Linked DNA regions of Cricetulus griseus. The protein of the gene in region 1 interacts with the protein of each later gene in a biochemical or structural test. Links are inferred from orthologs where the notes say so. Each region holds a gene or a part of one and is shown in the gene's direction. Other genes may lie near its edges.

Evidence for each region.
Region 2: the proteins of Pdzk1 (region 1) and Slc15a5 interact in a test that uses a peptide from one of them, tested with the Homo sapiens proteins (2 studies listed by IntAct, with this or other methods). The link is inferred for Cricetulus griseus from reciprocal best matches to the Homo sapiens genes PDZK1 and SLC15A5.
Region 3: the proteins of Pdzk1 (region 1) and Sdk2 interact in a test that uses a peptide from one of them, tested with the Homo sapiens proteins (2 studies listed by IntAct, with this or other methods). The link is inferred for Cricetulus griseus from reciprocal best matches to the Homo sapiens genes PDZK1 and SDK2.

Annotation. Positions count from the first base shown.
Region 1 is NW_023276806.1:59,644,559-59,648,310, reverse strand, and holds the start of Pdzk1 (Na(+)/H(+) exchange regulatory cofactor NHE-RF3), read left to right. Parts: upstream 1-1,109; coding exon 1,110-1,319; intron 1,320-2,399; coding exon 2,400-2,649; intron 2,650-3,752. UniProt on the Homo sapiens protein: A scaffold protein that connects plasma membrane proteins and regulatory components, regulating their surface expression in epithelial cells apical domains.
Region 2 is NC_048601.1:10,992,005-10,995,656, forward strand, and holds part of Slc15a5 (solute carrier family 15 member 5), read left to right. Parts: intron 1-310; coding exon 311-534; intron 535-3,652. UniProt on the Homo sapiens protein: Proton oligopeptide cotransporter.
Region 3 is NC_048600.1:126,489,691-126,493,342, reverse strand, and holds part of Sdk2 (protein sidekick-2), read left to right. Parts: intron 1-770; coding exon 771-1,124; 3' UTR 1,125-3,652.

The DNA of each region.
Region 1 (3,752 bases):
CATTGCATTACCAATACACGAGCTAGCTCTGAGGGCTAGCTTTGTCCCTCCCTCCCTCCCTCCCTCCTTCCCTCCCTCCAGTTGTTCGAAGCCTGCCTTGCCCTGTCCTGCCTCACCTGACTCCACTAGCCCTGTACTTCTTGGAAAGTCATTTCTCCAGGGAGCTAGTCTTATTTCTCCCCAGCCCATCCCTTCTTTCCAAAGACCTCATTGTGTCATCCTATGTCTCCCAGTTCTTCCACAGCACGGCATATCACATTTTGTTTTAAAAATGTAATTATGAAAAAGATATCTTCCTAGTGATTAGCTCCTCTTATTCTCAGGTTTATCCTCAACATCTAGAATCAGAAAGGCTCATCAGATATTTGAGTGAAAGTGTGCTTCTTGGAGGTGGGTACAGCCAGAGCACATGTGTGAGAATGTCTCAATGAAACTCCTGGGGGCCAGGAAGACAGTATTTACTGTGCAAGCTTGGAGGACAGGAGTTTGGATCCCCATAAACCCTGTAAAAGGCTGGAGATAGTGGTGTGTGTCTGCAGTCCTCATGCTGGAGAGGCAGAGATGGAGGACTGCTGGACCTGCTTGCCAGCTACTTTATCAGATCTGTGAATTTGAGATCTCTATGAGAGAATCTGTCTCATTAATAAGATGGTGAAGGATTGAGAAACACACCTGACACCACCTCTGATTTCCACACACACACACACACACACACCCACACACCCACACACCCACACACCCACACACCCACACACCCACACACCCACACACCCACACACCCACACACCCACACACACACACCACCACCACCACCATCACCACCAATAATAAAAACCCAGCACATGCACAAACGAAGCCTATTATTTTGCATGGTAATTAAAAGAAGATAGATATGGCGTCTTAAACTTTCTGGACCATGTGTTTTTAGACATAACCTCTTAGGACAAGGAACAAGGATGAATTTGGTTGGAGCTACTGAAGTTAAAGCATCTGTGTTAAGTACTCATTTGAACACGAGGGTTTGAAAAGCAAGTATGGAGACTCAGGGTTTCAACGTCCAACTAGATTTCCTTGCCTGTGGATTTATCCATTTGTTTTTCATCACAGAAATGGCCTCCACCTTCAATCCCAGAGAGTGTAAATTGTCCAAACAAGAGGGGCAGAACTATGGCTTCTTCCTGCGCATTGAGAAGGACACTGATGGCCACCTGGTCCGGGTGATTGAGAAGGGGAGTCCAGCGGAGAAGGCAGGACTCCTGGATGGGGACAGAGTTCTCAGGATCAATGGTGTCTTTGTCGACAAGGAAGAGCATGCACAGGTGAATAGACACTTGGGTTCTTCCAGCCACCTCTTCAGCCTCCACATCTCTGCCCACTCTGATTTTGGGGATCAGTGGAGCTTGGTTCTCTTCTGGCTACCACTGGCAAGGTTCTATCACATTTTATGGTGACTAGTCTAATTGCTTATGATTAACTGAGAACTGTAAAACCTATTATGTGACTCAGTGGGCAAAGGTGCTTATTACCAAGCCTGATGAGCTGAGTTCAATCCCTGGGACCTGCATGTTGGAAGGAGAGAACTGATTTCCACAAGTGTCCTTGTTCATGAGCCATGGCCTATGCCCTGTTATAAAAGCAATCAATTAAAAAATGCTATACTGTGGTAGTGTCAGGTCAAACGTTCATTGCCCATTTGCCCACGCTAGACAATTTTATCTGAGTAAGCTGTAGCCCTCAGCACAAGCCTGTGAGGCATGTGTGACCGCACAGATGAGGCAGCCATGTGTAGGTGACTTAGCTTGTTAACTGTCATGTGGTGACCGCATGGGAGAGGTAGGCCTTGCCTCACTTCAGCATTGTTCCCCTTTCACTACACCACGCCACCACCCCCTAGACCTGAGAAGCCCTGTTGTCCTCTCTCAAGCTCCTTAACGCTGCGACCCTTTAACACAGTTTCTCGTGTTGTGGTGACCCATACCATAAAATTATTTTTGTTGCTACTTCATAGCTGTAATTTTGCTACTGTATGAATTGTAAATATTTGATATGCAGGGTATCTGACACATGAGCTCTATGAAAAAACTGGGTCGTTCAATCCACCAAGGGGTCATGACCCATAGGTTGAGGACCACGGCTCTAGCGCATTCGTATCTGGGAAAGACCAATCCTTGTCAGGGCTTTCTGGATTCCCACAGTGCTGGGGCCCAGTCTGATCCTCCCTGATATATTGGGAGTGTTGGGGTGAAGGTGTCCAGTACCCCTCTGCTTAGGGTATGGGTGTTGGGTCAGCTGCCAGGCACATGACAAACATCTTCCTCCTACGGTTGATGGGGGCGGGGTGGTGTGGGGGGGAGGTTAACAGGACAAGGTATCCTTTAAACACTCCCCTTTCTTCAAAGGTGGTGGATCTGGTGAGAAAGAGTGGGAATTCAGTGACTCTGCTGGTTCTGGATGGAAAATCCTATGAGAAGGCTGTAAGAAAACAGGTAGACTTGAACAACTTGGGTCAAAGCCAGAAGGAACCGGCTTCAAATGATAAGAAACCAAGCCCTTTGATGAACGGAGCTGTGGAGACGTGCGCCCAGCCACGGCTCTGCTACCTGGTGAAGGAGGGCAACAGCTTCGGCTTCTCTCTGAAAACCATCCAAGGTGAGCTTAGGGTGGGCTGAGCTCTAGCCTTCCAGAAGCCCTGTGTTGGTAACGACAGTCTTTGCAGTTGCTATGAATGTCCACAGCAATGTCACTCTCTCTTCCTTTGTCTTCAGCACGGATCCTTTCTCTGCAGTTGTACAAAGAGAGATCCAACTTTGGACAGCAGCGAGGGCTGAGTGGGGGGACTCTTTCCCTAGTGTTTGTCAGGCTGCTGTTTGAGGCCAGTGGTTCAAGGACGGATGCCTCTTCATTGTTTTGTTTGACTTGTTTTTTCTTTCTTTTTTAATTTCTTAATTTATGTTTTACATTCCAATCCCAGTTTCCCCTCCCACCTGTCCTCCTGTTCCCTCCACTTCCCCCACACCACCTCCCATCTGCACCTCGGAGAAGGGTAAGGCCTCCCCTAGGAAGTCTACTGAGATTGTTCATCATCTCGTTGAGGGAGGATCCAGGCACCTCCCCCAACCTCTGTGTCTAGGTTGAGCAAGGTACCTCTCCATATAGAATGGGCCTCACTAAGTTATTTTGTACATTAGAGTTAGATCTTGGCCCCACTGCCAGTGGCCTCATTTATTGCCCCAGCTGCACCATTGTCACCTATGTTAAGGGAGTCTAGTTCGGTCTTATGCAGCTTCCCCATTTGTCAGACCAGAGATTGTGATCTTTCGCTAGCTCGGGTCAGCTGATTCTGTGGGTTTCCCCACCATGGTCTTGACTCCTTTGTTCATATTATCACTCTTCCCTCACTTTCATTGTACTCCAGGAGCTTGGCCCAATGGTTAGTTGTGGATTTCTGTATCTGTTTCCATCTGTATCTGTAGAAGAAGGTTCTAGCTTCTCTGGGGTTGTGGGTTGTAGGCTGGTTATCTTTATGTCTGGTATCTGTTTATGAGTATGTAAATACTATATCTGTATTTCTGGGTCTGGGTTACCTCACTCAGGGTTTTTTTTCTAGTTCTGTCCATTTGCCTGCAAATTTTAGGATGCCATTGTTTCTTATCCTGAGTAATACTCCATTGTATAAATGTACATTTTCTTTATCCATTCTTCAGTTGAGGGGCAACTAGGTTGTTTCCAAGTTCTGGCTATTATGAATAATG
Region 2 (3,652 bases), on another chromosome or scaffold:
TGACTGATGTTAGAGACTTCTTAGAGACTCTGAAATTCTCTACTCTGCCGTTGTACCTTGTCATTCCTTTTCTAATGTGTCCCCTTGATCTTACTTTTTTTCATTTTTTACACTGGCTGTCAGGCACCCTGGGCTGGTCATCACAAAGCTATCCCGGTCAGCAGGCTTTGAATCCCACCCCTCAGGCGTGGAAGCCTTCTACCCCGCTTTGACCACCTCTTGTCCCTCGGAGTGTCGGGTCTTGATTCATGTCTGAGAGGGCTGATGAGCCACGTCTGAGCTAACACACACTGTCTTCAATGTTGTGCAGATTGCTCCCTCCTGACGGTCGCTGGTGTGTTGCTTAAAGCCCTGAAAAGACACTGCCTGTCATACTGCCACCTTGGGCAAGATGGAGCAAGTTGGTCAGACCGTGCCGTGCAAAAACACGGTGGATGTCACAGTGAACTCCAAGAGGAAGACACAGAACTTGTCTTCTCCACCCTTTTGCCACTCTTCAGTTTCCAGCTGGTTTACAGAATGTGCCTTATGCAGGTAGGGAAGACAGCCGACACACACCAACGACAACAAAACCACCTCGTGCATTATCATCCTGTATTAGTCACTTTTCTCATGGCTGTGACAAAGTATCTGACAATATGAAGAGTCCACCATAGGTTCATGTGTTAGAACATTTGCCACTGGTGGGTGACTGTTTTTGAGGAGGCAGAGACTTGCTGGAGGAATTAAATCACTGGGAGCGGATTTTTGAGAGTTCACAGCCTCCCTCCATTTTCTGGTCTTTCTCTGTTTCCTGTGTGTAGATGAAACTGGGGTTAGCCAGCTTCCTGCTCCTGCCACTATTCCCAGGTTCTCCCCACTGTTCACCGGTGCTCCCTCCAGAGACCTGCGTTAAAATAAACCCTCTCTTTCTAAAGTAACTTCTGATTGTAGTGTTTTGTCCCAGCAACAGAACAGTAAACAATACACCCAGCAAACTACTGCCTCCAAGCTGAACTCAGTCCATGACCTGTGTTTACAGTATTTTTCATTGTTACATGGGCCTAAGTGCACAGTGTGGGAAGACATGCAAACATGGCTTGGTGCTCAAATAGAGGCCAGAGGACAACAGAAGTTGGTTTTCTTCTTCTACCATCATGTGGGTGCTGGGGATTGAACCCAGACCACCAAGTCTGTGTGGCAAGCGATCCTTACAGCCATCCCATTTTTGTATACAGTGAAAGTTATGATGGCTTTAATATTTTACATCACTGGAAGCAAAGCAAAAGAGTAGTTTGTGGTGCTTAAAAATTATATGGAAGTTAAATTCCAATGTTTACAAATAAAGTTTTATCAGAACTTTGCCATGCCCATTGGTTTGTTATATCTGTGGCTGCTCATTTGCAAAGGTGTGCGACTGAAAAGCTGCCAAAGAACCCCTGGGTGGGTGTGGACAGGGTTATCACCTGGTCTCTGACAGAAAGGTTTGCTAACCCCTGGTCCAAACAGTGCACTGGAACTGTGCAGACTGGGAGAGTACTCCTGGTTGTACAACTAGTAGCAGGCATCAAAAAAGACACAGCAGAAGCCTTCTTCACTTTCATGGTCATTGCTAGAGAGGCACCTAGACCTGTGAAAGTAATGAGCACTGAACTACTGAGCAGTCCATAGCTAGCCCTAAAACCTTCTGTACTCAAAGCACCCATTACTAACTCCTTTTCTTCACGGTGAAGCAGCAAGTTGTATCTCTCTACACTCAGTTTGAGTCTTTTCTGTGAAACAGTCTGTATTTTGTATTTTGATACAAGTACAACACATTTTGGTAGATTTGGCTTTAGTCACACCCCACATTGCCTACTTTTGTCCCCTCCCACACCTCTCTGTCCCTTTCATCTTCCATCCAGTGACCATCTACTTCTCTCTCTCTCTCTCTCTCTCTCTCTCTCTCTCTCTCTCTCTCTCTCCACACACACACACACACACACACACACACACACACACACACTGAATGAACTATCTTTTTATGGGCAAGGTGTTATTTAAAGGAACATGAGTGGACTATGCAAGTAAGAAAAAGTTGATAAGCTAAATTTTAAGGAAATAAATGCCCAGTTTACTGGAGAAAAAAATTCAAGTATTTATTGATTGTTTATTGTTCACCACAGCTTCTTAAAGATGAGTCCCAAATATCTCCATTTACTTGATGGGGGAGGGGTATGCCTGTCATGACCTGGGGGTGGTGGGAGGCGGGGTCAAAGACAATGTGCAGGACTCAGTTCTCACCTGTTGCCATGTAGGTTCCTGAGATCACACTCAGACTGTGAAGGTCAGTCAGTGGCAAGCGCCAGAGCAGCTGAGCCATGTCACCAACTTGGTTTCTGAATGTCTCATGTTACCCCCGTAGAATAACACACAGAAAGTCTGCACAGCCCCTGTGATTTCCACACATCAGAGACTTAGCAGCTAGTGTAATGACTCATGTGTATAACAGCACTGCGTTGGGGAAGCTGAAGCAGGAGAATTGCTATGGGTTCAATGCCAGCCTGGGATATATAGTAAGTTCAAGGCTAGCCTGGATACTGGGCTGTACACTGAGACCTTGTCTTTAAAATAAATAAATGTCTAAGGCTCCAGTGGATAGAAAGATGATTAATTAACCTTGGACTTGTTAGCATATGGCAGGATGGTTGCTCTAACTCAAGGCTGATGTCAAGGCTAATTACCCAGAACACCTCTCTGACACTTTACTAAGTATCTTAATAAAAACTATATAGGTACCAACCTTATATAGAGTGATGCTTTGCTAGAAATTGAAAGAAAATGTTAGAGCATCCTTCTCCAGGTTGAAACTTCCATCAGGACAGGTTTAGACTAGACTTTGCCTCCAGATAAAATAATCACCAGCACAAAGGCAATCAAAGTACCAGGAATAAAACATCCCAGAATTCCATATTTTAAATTTAGTAGCAATTATTGACCTTCAGGTCCAAGACATATATTTAAAATATGTTGATATTAAGGCTGACAAGGTTGCCATTTGACATTAGGGCCACTCAAAGGTGAATATGAATCTCTATTGATGGCAATTACTTCTGAATAATACTCAGAGGCCTGTGTGAAATAAAAGTATTTAAAATTTTAAAAGGGGGAGGATTGCAGAACTTGAGGCAGAAGCAGAAATGATTTCAAGCTTTCAAGACACCACAGCCTTTTTTTTTGGATTAGGCAATATATTAATATCGCCTCACTAAAGATTAATGACACATTGGCAACATTATTAAGTTAACAGGTTTCAGTGTCTGTGATTCATGCCGATAATAACTTTATCCCTATTAACAATAATTCTCATTTGAAATCAGTAACAGAAACTTGCTCTGATGCCGCTCAGTCTTAAACTTATTCAGCTGCCAGCTCTTTTTAAACCGCACATCCATCGTTCATTTCCCTCAGATTGGGGTGTGTGTGTCTCTTCATTTTACAGAGGCAAAAATAGCTAACGTACCCTTCACTCTCACCGTCTGGACCCAACCAAAGCAACCCCTGTTTGTTGTCCCAAGTATCAGATTAAAGACTGGGAGATAAATTATCACCAGGACCTGTTCTATGCAGACAGGGAGAAGCAATAGGAAACTGTAGTCTAGCCCTATGTCTGGGCAGATAAACTATTGGTCAG
Region 3 (3,652 bases), on another chromosome or scaffold:
GACAGGGAGGTAGGGCTTAATAGATGCAGGGTTGCACTTTGGGGTGCAATATCTGGAGCTGGACAGACCTAAGGGCTCACAGTGTCACAGACTAAACAGTGCTGAATCGCTTGCTTTAAAATGGTTGACTTTAGCACAGTGGTGATGGCACACACCTTTAATCCCAGCACCTGGGAGGCAGAGGCAGGTAGATCACTATGAGTTCAAGAGTTCCAGGGCAGTCTCCAAAAGCTACAGAGAAACCCTGCCTCAAGAAACAAAACAAAACAAAAAGGTTTACTTATTAAGTGAATTTTATTTTCTACTGGGAAGAATAAAGGTTACGATTGGAGTGTATAGGTCTGTCTGGGTCAGTGTGTGGGTCTGAAATCCTAGCTATCATGAGGCTCAGCAGGAAGAATGAATACAAATTGAAGGCCAGCATAGCTAGTTCAAGGTCAGCCTAGGGAAACCCTGTCTCAAAAAGAAAAACTAGAAAGGGGGCCAGGTGTAGCTCAGTGGTAGAACACTTGCCTAGCATGAGTGAAGCCCTAGTTTCCAAGCTTTAATACCACAAAGGGAAAAGATGGCCTTCTTGCCCTGGATAACACATGATGGTAGACATCTCATCCTGGCTTTCCCCGAAGGGAGAGGGAAGGGGCATGAAGAGATGCTGTGGTAATGAGGGGTTGAGATGTTCAAGACCCAAGGCTTGAAAGAGGTGAAATGTTCTGTGCCTTGAGCCCTGACCTCACAAGGACACTGACACCCCTGATTCTCTGTCTTCCTAGGGAAGTGACAGTGAGTATGAAGTGGACACAAACCCTCAGAAAGCCCACTCCTTCGTCAACCACTACATCAGTGACCCCACATATTACAATTCTTGGCGGCGCCAGCAGAAAGGCATCTCTCGGGCCCAGGCCTACAGCTACACAGAGAGTGATTCTGGTGAACCTGACCACGTCACTGTCCCCAATAGCAACAGCACCCAGCAGGGCAGCCTTTTCCGGCCTAAGGCCAGCCGGACTCCAACGCCCCAAAACCCCCCAAACCCTCCAAGTCAGCAAAGCACCCTCTACCGTCCCCCCAGCAGCCTTGCCCCTGGCTCCCGGGCACCCATAGCAGGGTTCTCATCCTTTGTTTGACGTCAGAAGAGGAAAAAGAATGAAAAAAAATGACACCAAAATCCTCCTTTGCCACCTTCCCAAAACGCCTGCCAGAAAACACACAAGCAAACCCCACCAAGACATCGGATCAAATTTCACCTCCCAAGTTTATTTTTCCACAGATTCCAGGGCCAGCAAAGCCAGCGTGGAGGAGGAGCGGGGAGCCCACACGACTTGGACTTGTGTGACCTGCAACAGCTTCACATCCTTGGGGTCCATTGTGCAGTGTGGAGGGCTGGAGACCAGATAGTCTCACTCCTGCCCAGGACAGAGGGGCTCGGGACTCTGGAGAGAGGGGGCTATAAGGCAGGCAGGTGGGCTGGGAGATGGAGGCACTTCGAGACAGGCAGCCAACTTTACCTTTCCCACATGCGCTAGGTCTTGCTTTCCTTGCTCCTCTGCGAAAAGGATGGATGTCCCCAGAGGCGAAGCCTGCCTGTCATCTGTGGCTCTCCCTGGCAGGTGTCCCATGACCTTGCCAGCCTCCTGCCCTGTCTCAACACCCTCCAAGGGCTCATGGCCCTTATTCAACTTCTCCACCAAGCATTTGGCTTATTTGGGAAAAAAAAAAAAAAAGAAGAAGAAATCAAATGATGCAACTTCCTCATTCCTGAAAAAGAAAAAGAGAAAAAAAATTAATTGCGGATTCAAGGAAGAAAGCCAGAGGACTGGGAGAGAATCTTCACACAGCTGCATAACGGTTCCCTGCCTCCCGTTGCTTGAATTCACTTCCCTGAATGCAGATAAGGAGGGGTGACATCTGGGGAAATGGGACCTAAGATACTGGCTCCACACTAGGGCACGCTTCAGGGAGATGCCCTGCAGGAAGTCAGAGATGCAAGGATGAAGCCTTGACTGTTTTCTTCCCATCCAACTGCCCAACACTGAGAAAAAGGAAATGGGGTGGCAGGGGGCTCAGGATAGGAAGCTCAGCTCAACCCACCTAGCTGTGTAAGAAGGTATGCTTGTATGTACCACTTCCTCTGAGTAAACTCCTTCCTGCTAACCCATGCACCTGCCCCCATGAACCTGAAGGAAAAAGGGTCCAGGAGCCCCTCTCCAGAGGATACCTGGAGCTTCTTTGCCCAACAACGTTCTCAATTCAAGATCTGTGTGTCCCCCTGTGTGTCCCCTAACCCACAACACACAGGTCCCAAAGGGGCGGCCCAGTGCCTGGTCCTGAGGCTTTACAAAGAATCAAAGATCACTTGAATCCCTTCTAACATCTCCCAGGCTAGGTTCAGCGAAGCCAGAGCTGGGAAGGACTAGCCAGGAAGCTGTGTCCAAACTGGACACAGCAGCTGAGATGCATGGTCAGCCAGGAGAGGCAGGTCAGATGGGATCAAGGGACAAGAATAGCTGATGGGAGGGGATGCTGTTACTCCCGGGAATGTTCTGTAAAAAGCCACGGGGCCTGAACTTCACAGCAGCTTTGAGCTTCCAATGCAAGGGTTGTTTGTGGGAGGAGTTTTTCTGATGTCCTGGGTTGTCTGAGGTCCATGGGGACACCAACTAGCCCTTTAAGGCTCAGCCTACTGCTGGGAACGCATGGCTGCCTCCTTTAGAGGCTCCATTGGGGCATGTCCAAGTCAATTAAGGACCAGCCTTGCTGGGAGTATACACTGTAGTTACTGCTGGCCTTATTGAGAGGCCTAAGTGAGGAGCCTGTAGCTGTCCTCGGCAATCCCTAATTAGTCACTGCTAAATTCTCACTGGTCAGGGAAATCTGAGTCAAAGGCCTGAGTAAAGAACACATTCAGACTACTAAGTGTGCGGCCCCTCCCTACACACCTGCCCCCTGGGATATGTAAATGAGGAAATGTTGGAAGCTGGGTCAGCAGACAGGTGACCCAACGGCTGTTTGTGAACAATGGCTTTTCATAGTGACCTCTCCTAAGCAGGTCCTAAGGTTCCTTAAACCAGGAAGCACAGCCTTGTCCCCAAAGGACAACAGAGGGCTGAGACCCTGCCCCTCTGGGGAGTCAGGTTCCCAGGGCTACCTTGGACTTTGTCAGTCAGCTGGACCCCAACCCCTGCAGCATCTGGCCTCTCTCCGGAGCCACACATTCGCAGACGCTGCATGAGCTCACACTGCCATGCTTATTTTCGTCCCTCACTTCTTTTTTAAACAACATCTTTTTTCCTGTCTCCAGAGGCTTTAACCGTTTAAGGTTGTTCCCAGTTTGCATTAGGGAATTATTAGCCTAGCCCAGTTCCCAGTAAGGGAGCTTTATAGAGGAAGCAGGAATTGTTTAAAGAAAAAAAGAAAGCATTTGTGTGGATGTGTGTGGGTGTGTGTGTGTGTGTGTGTTGCACATAAGGACAATTTTTCTTTGCCTTTAATGAATTGCCCGGTGCACTGAGACTTCCCCTCCCCCTCCTGTGTGCTCGTTAGAACCCCTGCTGATGCCCAGGTGCTCATGCACAAGCATGCAAAGGTATGCACAGGACATACATCGGTGTGTGTTAGCAAAGGGCCTCTTGCCGTGCCCTCTGATGGCCCCTGG